Tribolium castaneum: one gene and its partner. The protein of the gene in region 2 purifies or fractionates together with the protein of the main gene of each other region. This does not show direct contact. Links are inferred from orthologs where the notes say so. Each region holds a gene or a part of one and is shown on either strand. Other genes may lie near its edges.

Region 1 (4,411 bases), on a different chromosome or scaffold from region 2:
GCAAATTGCCGAAATAATTAAAATTATTTTAAGTGTGACAGATGTCATTTTTTCACTTTTTTTCAGAGAATTTAATGTTATCAGCGATTTTTTTCAACCATTCGTTTAACTGTAATAACATAAAGTTGTATTTTTTTAAATAGGAATCATAGTTGGCTATGACATTTTCGAAAAGATTATTTTTTTCTGATTTGATATGTCTATTTGTGTAATACGTTAATTTTAAATATTTAAGAAATACGAAACATTTCGTTTTTTCTTTATAGTAGGCCATGAAAAAATTTTGGATTTTTAATTAAAGCTATGAAAATTGTATTACCCACCAAGTATTTATAGTTTAACGAATTTTTAAACCTAATTAATTCAAAAACAGCATAATAAATTTTTATTAGATTAAATTTTTGCAATTAATAAAAATTATTTGTTTTTATATTTAAAATGGCAAGCTTATGTTGTCATTTTATTTTCCAATTTTAAACATGAAATGTCGGAAGAAGAAAAATCTTATTAATTGTATGATTGCGTATCAATAAAATTTTATTTTACAAAAAAATGTCAATCCAAACACCAAAATCAAATTCCATCTGCGGTAAAAATTTATACAACATTATCAACGTCACCTCCATTGAACTTTACTAAATCATAAAAAAGTGGCATCAAATAGTAGTGACACATCGTTTGCAATTTTCTGCACATTTTTTATGTAATTAAAATCTGCGACGCTCGTATATTTGTTCAATTGAAAATAACTTTAACATAGCTTATTTTTATAATTTCACATTTTTTACTTTAATAACCGCTCACAAAATTTCTAGATTATTCACACCTTTTATGTGAAATAATTTTTCCATGGCCAACTACTTTCAAATATTTTAAATATATTTTCTAGCAAAAATATATAAAAATATCAAACTATATTTATATTGTTTTGAGTTCAGAAAAAAGTAAGCTTTTCAAAAATGTCATAGCCAACTATGATTCTCATTTAAAAAAATACAACTTTATGTTATTACAGGTAACGAATGATTAAAAAAATCGCTGATAACATTATTAAATTCTCTGTAAAAAAGTGCCTTTAAGGTCTTTGTTTCAAATGTGTATCTTTTATAATAAGGAAGATATGAATTTTTTAATATTTCACTGAAGTGTCAATTTTTGTTTATAAGTCGAAAACAAAAGACGATAGCGAAGTGCGGTTTTGACCAAAATTATTCTCTCAAAAAACGGACCCGAAAATGTGCCATTTGTTTTTCTCTAAACTTCTTAATTTCGGAGACCCCGGAGACTTTTTGTCGATTTAGAATCTGGGTAATTTTGAGGAATTTATTTAAGTTTCACCAGAAACTTACTTATTTCAAAAAGTTTCTTCGAAACAACCGATGAAGAAGAAAATAAAATAAAAATTGTTGTAAAAGGATTAAAAATCCCGCGCTGCGTTTAGTAATTTTGGTATTTTCTGGCGTCCCTGCTTGTCACCGGCGCCATTTTCCGCAATCACGTTTTTTCAATCGCGCGTTGTGTAACTAATAGCCCCCATAAATGGCTCAAAGCAAGTTGAACGACCTGGCCGGCAAGTTCGGCAAAGGGGGCCCGCCCGGCCTGGGGCTCGGACTCAAACTTCTGGCCGTTGGTGGCGCCGCAGCTTACGGTATCTCGCAAGCCATGTACACCGGTAAGCCCTTTCAAATTTTTTGCGGTTTTTACGCCCGTGTCTAGTCGAAGGGGGCCACCGGGCCATCATGTTCAACCGCATTGGGGGCGTCCAGAAGGACATTTACACTGAGGGGCTGCATTTCCGCGTGCCGTGGTTCCAGTACCCCATCATTTACGACATTCGGTATTTGGACGAATGAGTGTAGCGGGGTTTGTAAGGGGGCTGTTTTAGGTCAAGGCCGCGTAAGATCTCCTCGCCAACGGGGTCGAAAGACTTGCAGATGGTGAATATTTCGCTGAGGGTGCTCTCAAGGCCGAATGCCAGCCAACTGCCGATTGTTTATAGACAGTTGGGGCTGGATTATGATGAGAAGGTTTTGCCTTCGATTTGCAACGAGGTGCTGAAGTCGGTTGTTGCGAAGTTTAACGCAGCTCAGTTGATTACACAAAGACAGCAAGTTTCGCTTTTGGTTAGGAGGGAATTGACTGAAAGGGCGCGCGATTTTAATATAATTCTGGACGATGTTTCCATTACTGAGCTTTCCTTCGGGAAGGAATACACGGCTGCGGTTGAAGCCAAACAGGTGGCGCAACAGGAAGCCCAAAGGGCTGCGTTTATTGTCGAGAAAGCCAAGCAGGAAAGGCAGCAAAAGATTGTCCAAGCGGAGGGCGAAGCCGAAGCCGCAAAAATGATATCCTTTTTATTTTTTGATTTTTTTAGTTTTATTTGTTTATTTCTCCTTAATTTTTGAGTAATTTTGGAAAATTGCTGGTAAGACGCTTCTGACTAACTTAGCTAAAATTACGGAAAACTATAGATTAGGAGACGAAACGAGACATAAAATCGTACCACAGAAGTAACACGTCAGAGGGCACTTCGATCGTTATAATTAATTTAAATTCAACCAATTTATTAATTGTGGGGAAAAGATACAAAAATGTTGTTTACTGAATTGAGAAAAATTGACTAAATTACACAGTTATGTAATGAATTTTTAAAGTATATTATTCCAAATACTACGGAGAAATGCTTCTCTCTAATTAGTTTTTAGAATGTTATAAGAGTACTAAAAAATAATTTAGAAAATTTGAATTTTGAAAAAGATCAAAATAAAATCTACAAGAAAATTTGGAGAATGAAGAAATGTTGATAATAGTTAATTATTATTACACAAGACGATGACATTGCTTACCTACGAGTAAAAAGGTTGAGTTCAAGAGAGACGAAGTCACGAGTGAACTTATTTCGCGAATAGATATTACGTGTATAATACAACATTTTTTCTACAGCTGGACTTCAAGTTTACGAAAAAATAATTATTAGTCTCTTAACCCATCAAATGAGTATGTTATTGGAATTTGTAAATTTAATTGAATAAAATAAATCTAAAACATTCTATATATCTTCGCGGTTAAAGTGCTATTTTATCTACTCAAAAGAGTTGATAAAGAAATAGTTTAACATCTGCTATAGATAAGAATATTTGTTTGTTGGCAATATTTTAAGCCTTCTTTTTAATATCTGAATCCTAGATTATAATCACAATTTTAAAACACGTTTCCCGTTGGGAAGAAAGTTGTAGCCAATTAAAATTTCGTTAAAAAAGTCCACGAGATCTTCAACCGTTTAGGTCCCAAAGATGTTTCAAGCGTTCTTTAAAATTTGTTGCTCAGCGCCCTCTGGCGACACCAACGTAACTAGCGAGAACGGGACGTTTTATTAGTTCGTTTCGTAACCTAAGCTATAGTGAACCGTAGCTAAAACTAGAGTAGTCATAGCCGACGAGCCAGACGTAGAGTGTCGTTCGTGTAGTTAGTTTGTGTTTAAAATTTTTTCTTAACTTGAGTTTACTTAGGTGAAGCAATTTCCAAAAATCCGGGCTATTTGAAATTGAGGAAAATCCGCGCGGCTCAGAATATTTCACGAACCGTGAGTTTTGTTTACTTGATTTCTTCTTTAATTGGAAAAATATTTTTCTAGATTGCCAACTCGCAAAATAAAGTGTACCTCAGTGGTAACAGTCTAATGTTGAATATCTCTGATAAGGAGTTTGATGACCAGTCTGATAAGCTCAAACGTAAGGATTGAGTCTAGGTTTAAGTTCGTAGTGAGTGAGTGAAAAACTTTTATAAGAATATTTCTTTGTTACTATTTGTAAAAATATTCCTAAGTCTCAAATAAATGCGTAAGTTGTTACGAAGTCTTGTTTGATTTTGTTTACCCCTTTTGTAGGTAATGAATATGATGACACGACGCGAAGTGCTGATAAAAATGTGCTCAGGACAGCACGGAAAATGGCAACAAGGATTGCTGGATAAGGGCGGAATTTTCACGCATGTAGATTTTATATTTTGGTTATTGTTGCTTAATAAACGTTTTTAACACCTTTATTAAAACTGCATTTCTCTTCTTTTGTTTGTTCCTATCCTTAATGTTTATAAAAAAAATCACCAATATTTGGTGATTTTTATGCGCAAGGGTTACCAGCATTCAAGCACAGTCTTCGAACCGGTTTTATTCTGACATCAAGCTACACAACAATGGCAGTGTTTAAATAAAGCTAGGCCAAGCTACGCATTGTTCGTTCAATCAAACATTTAAACCTGTGCACAATAAACTACATCGTTGCATAATTCTAATAGAAAAATTCAAATTTGGCGCCACTTCCAATGGCGCCATTTTCAAAATCAAATCCTCTATAAGTCGATGATTTCGTACATGTAAAAGCTCAAATAACCAGAAATTGGACACGTACCG
Region 2 (3,824 bases):
TCTTTGTCAACTCTAATTAAAAAAAATCAGCAGTGATAATTTAAACAACGAAAATCATTTTAATTGTCCCATAACATACTGTATGCGTCTGTATAATTGTATATGTATTGTAACAAATTCGATATATTTTTTGCTAATTTACTAATCCGTCGGTCAAGCAACAGTTATTGTCTCAGCTTTGCCAATAAATTTAATGTTAAATATTCATCTTTTCTTGTTACTTATTTTTGTATTATCTATGTATTTTATATTGTTATTTAAAATTATTCTGTTTGTGTTAAAATTATATTTTGTAATTATCCAATATAAACATTTTTGTCTGTTGGAAAATAAAATTACTTTTATTTAAACAATTAATGGAGCTCCTGAGAAAATCAGGAACAAATAAAAAAAATTAAAACAAGTCAAAAAAAATAAGTTAAAAGTAGACGAAATTAAAAAAATTTTTTTTAGATAAGTCTTTAAAGTAAAGATAAATTTATAGATAGATTTAAGGTTTCTCTAGCTTTATTTATGAGAAATTTGAAGTAAATATTTTAAATCACATTAGGAATCATTTGGAAAAAAGTTAGTGTAACTTTTAAGAAAGTCAGAGAAAAAAATTTATTAAATTTTAAAATTAAATTTTAGAATGCAACGTGTTTTTAACAATACCCCTATTGTGTAGTTGAGATAAGTATAAATGTCTAGAAAGATATACATAAATATTTCTTCTGAAAATCTCTAACACTAAGCGAAATCTGGAGTGAATTCACGAAAATCTTTTTGAACAATAGGTGCAATTTTTGTGAAAAGCAAAAGAAAATCATTAAGAAATACAAAGAGTGAAACAAGGCAAAACAAAACCAAAGGAAATCAAAAGAAATTTTTACAGATAAACCTTTATGATAGATAAAGACTAGTCTTATATACTAGTCTAGTTCTGACTTCCTCAAGACATCTGTAACTTTAATTAAAAGAAATATGTATGTAGGTAACATTTTGAATATTTAGTGCAACTGTATTGTAGAAATCGAGAGAAAAACATGAAGAAAACCAAAAAATAAAACAAGAAAAATCAATAAAAGATATTTTTTCTGAAAACTTCTAGCTCTAATGAAAAGAAATCTGCAAATAATTTTGAAGTCATCAAAATTATTTTGAAATGTTAGTGTGATCTTGAAAACATTAAGAAAAAATCTTGAGAAAATCCAACAAAATCAAAAATAATTTGTTAAAACCAAAAAAATCAAAAAAAAAACAAAATGTCTAAAAATAGATAAATAAAAACAAATCTATAGATGAATTTAAATATTTCTTCTGAATATCTTTAGAAAATTCTAATTCAAATTAGAAGAAATCTGCAGTGAATACATAAATCAAGGAAATCATTTTGAAAACAAAAGTAATATGAACTTCTCTTCAAACTGGTAGACGTTATGTTTTTTCAACCCTTTGGCTAAAAATTTAAAATGCAAGCAAACAAGTTTAAATATTTTGTTACAAAAAAAAGTACAGCGTTGGGCAAAAATATAGAACCAAGCGTTTTGTGCCTAAACTATGTGCCTTACGAAAAAAACAATTAGTACATCATCAAGTACTCTAAAAATGTAATCATTTTTCAGAAATAATTTTTTTCGAAATTCCTTAAGTCTTCGAGTTATTAATTTTTTTTTAAATGGCACCCCACATCGGCGATTTTTTTGGTTAAAGACCATGCTCTAGAAATTACTTCTAATTCAATAATATTGTATTTAAACCAGTGGTTCTCTGAAAATAAATTATTAAAGTTGCATTCCGAGCCCGTTACGAAGGTTTTTCGAACTTGGTCGAAGTGGTGGTATTCAGAAAACCGTCGTAATAAGCTCGGAATGCGGCTTTAATAATCTATAAAAAAAACACAAAAACAAAATTATTGAATTAGAAGTAATTTTTAGAGCATAAACTTTTAACAAAATAATCGCCGTGGTAAAGTTACATTAAAAAAAATTTTTTTGAATAACAAAAAAGAATTTCGAAAAAATTTATTCTTGAAAAATGTTCACATTTTTGAAGGAGTTGATGATGTACTATTTATTTTTTTTGTAAGGAACATAGTTTAGCCACAAAACGCTTGGTTCCATACTTTTGTCTAACACAGTATATCCATATTTTTACAATGACATTTTTGAACATTTTTTCAAAAAAAAAACTCAAAAAAAAATCGCGGAAATCAAAAAAATAGAACCAAAAAATCAGGTACTGCGGTTTTCCCCCCGATTTTATAAATAAATACCTTATGGAGGCCCTCAAGACACGCCGTAATGATATCATCCCTTATCCTTTGCCGATGCTTCTGCCGCGCCCTTCTCGCCACCAACCGACTCAGAGCCGAAGTCCCCGAAAAAGTGCTTTTCTCGCCCAATGGCGCCCCTAAAACCGAAACCACGGAAGCCCAACAACACGTCAAAACCCTCCGTGAGAGCTTAACTCCTGCCTCAACTTCAGGACTACTCTCCGGGCTTCCATGGACTTTTTGCAACTTCTGCCAATCGGAAAGTAACTGTGACGGACATAAACCACCAACATCTGTCAATAAATTGACCAAAGCTGGCTGTTGGGGCGCTTTGGGGTCATACCCAGCCGTCAGAAGCAACGATTTGGCCAAAACATTTTGGTAAAGTTCGCATAACCAAGTCGCCGAAACGTAGACCAAAACCCCACTGCCATGAATCTCCTCCACAAACTGGGCCTCCGTGATGGGGACGTTGTTGCCCCCATCATGGTTGCCCCCTTGTATCAGCTTCAAGTCGAGCAAAAGGGCCGAATACGTGGCTAAATAAACACCATCGGCGTTCATAATCGTTGAAATTTCGTAGCTTTGGGCCGAGTTGTGTTGGCAACACTTGGAGGCGAATTCTTGCAAAACTTCGTCGACTTGAATGGACGATCTTAGTGATAAAAGGTTTGGGAGAAGTATGTTTTGTAAGGTTTTGACGAAATGGCGGGCGTTGTGACGTTCCACGTCGGTATTGCACTCTTCTAGACCACTTCGGCCCAAGTTGAGCGATTTTGGAAGTTTGTGCAATTTTTGGAGTTGATGGTTGGTTAAAAAACTGTCATCGTCCATTATACTGTCCTCTGATTGGCTCCCGTATTCTTCGGGGCCTTCGGTTGCGCCGGAACAATCCGATTCAGAGCCCCCTTCAATGTCGGGGACGTTGCCCTCAATCCCGCTACTGTCGGAGTCGCTTTGGCATTTCAAATTTGCAACCACGTCCCTGATAATAATAATAATGATAACAACGTAATAAATGCAATTAAAGGCGCAACCACAACACCTAGAAAAACTACGTCCCGTAATAAAAATTCAATAAATGATTAAAGTTTTCTAAAAATTCGACGTTTACTTCCTTGCTTTAATTAAAAAAGTGAAACAATAGTATATTACAAAACAAGTTTCATTATACCATTCTTGAAGCACGGATTCAAGTTTCAGTAACGAGTACCGTAGTTACAAGTTATTTTAAAGAATGAGTGCTTCAAGCTCATTTAAAAATAATTTTTTAATACTATTTTTGTAATTTCCCCTTTTTTTAACGTTTTAAAATTAAAACTCTGTTACACATACAAGTAAAGAAAAGTTGTTCGTTATCTTTGAGTCATGTATTAGTTAAATGAGTGCGTAGCACAAATTTTAAGTAGGAATCACATTCATTTATATTTTATTATTGCCAGAAATAAGGTAACAAAAATATCGTTTTACATTTATAACATTTATTTACTCTCATCCATCATGTTTTAAAAATGTTGTTCGTTATCAAAATTGGTGGATGCGCCGGGATATTTGATAAAATAATACATAA

The links.
Region 1: the proteins of brefeldin A-inhibited guanine nucleotide-exchange protein 3 (region 2) and Phb2 purify together in Homo sapiens (affinity purification with western blotting; 4 studies listed by BioGRID). This does not show direct contact. The link is inferred for Tribolium castaneum from reciprocal best matches to the Homo sapiens genes ARFGEF3 and PHB2.

The regions. Positions count from the first base shown.
Region 1 is NC_087401.1:13,157,856-13,162,266, reverse strand, and holds Phb2 (prohibitin-2), read left to right. Parts: upstream 1-1,446; 5' UTR 1,447-1,539; coding exon 1,540-1,672; intron 1,673-1,716; coding exon 1,717-1,837; intron 1,838-1,885; coding exon 1,886-2,345; intron 2,346-3,505; coding exon 3,506-3,583; intron 3,584-3,634; coding exon 3,635-3,731; coding exon of another isoform or gene 3,732-3,742; exon of another isoform or gene 3,743-3,839; intron 3,840-3,886; coding exon 3,887-3,972; 3' UTR 3,973-4,050; downstream 4,051-4,411.
Region 2 is NC_087399.1:9,107,511-9,111,334, forward strand, and holds part of brefeldin A-inhibited guanine nucleotide-exchange protein 3, read right to left. Parts: intron 3,240-3,824; coding exon 2,255-3,239; intron 1-2,254. UniProt on the Homo sapiens protein: Participates in the regulation of systemic glucose homeostasis, where it negatively regulates insulin granule biogenesis in pancreatic islet beta cells. Also regulates glucagon granule production in pancreatic alpha cells.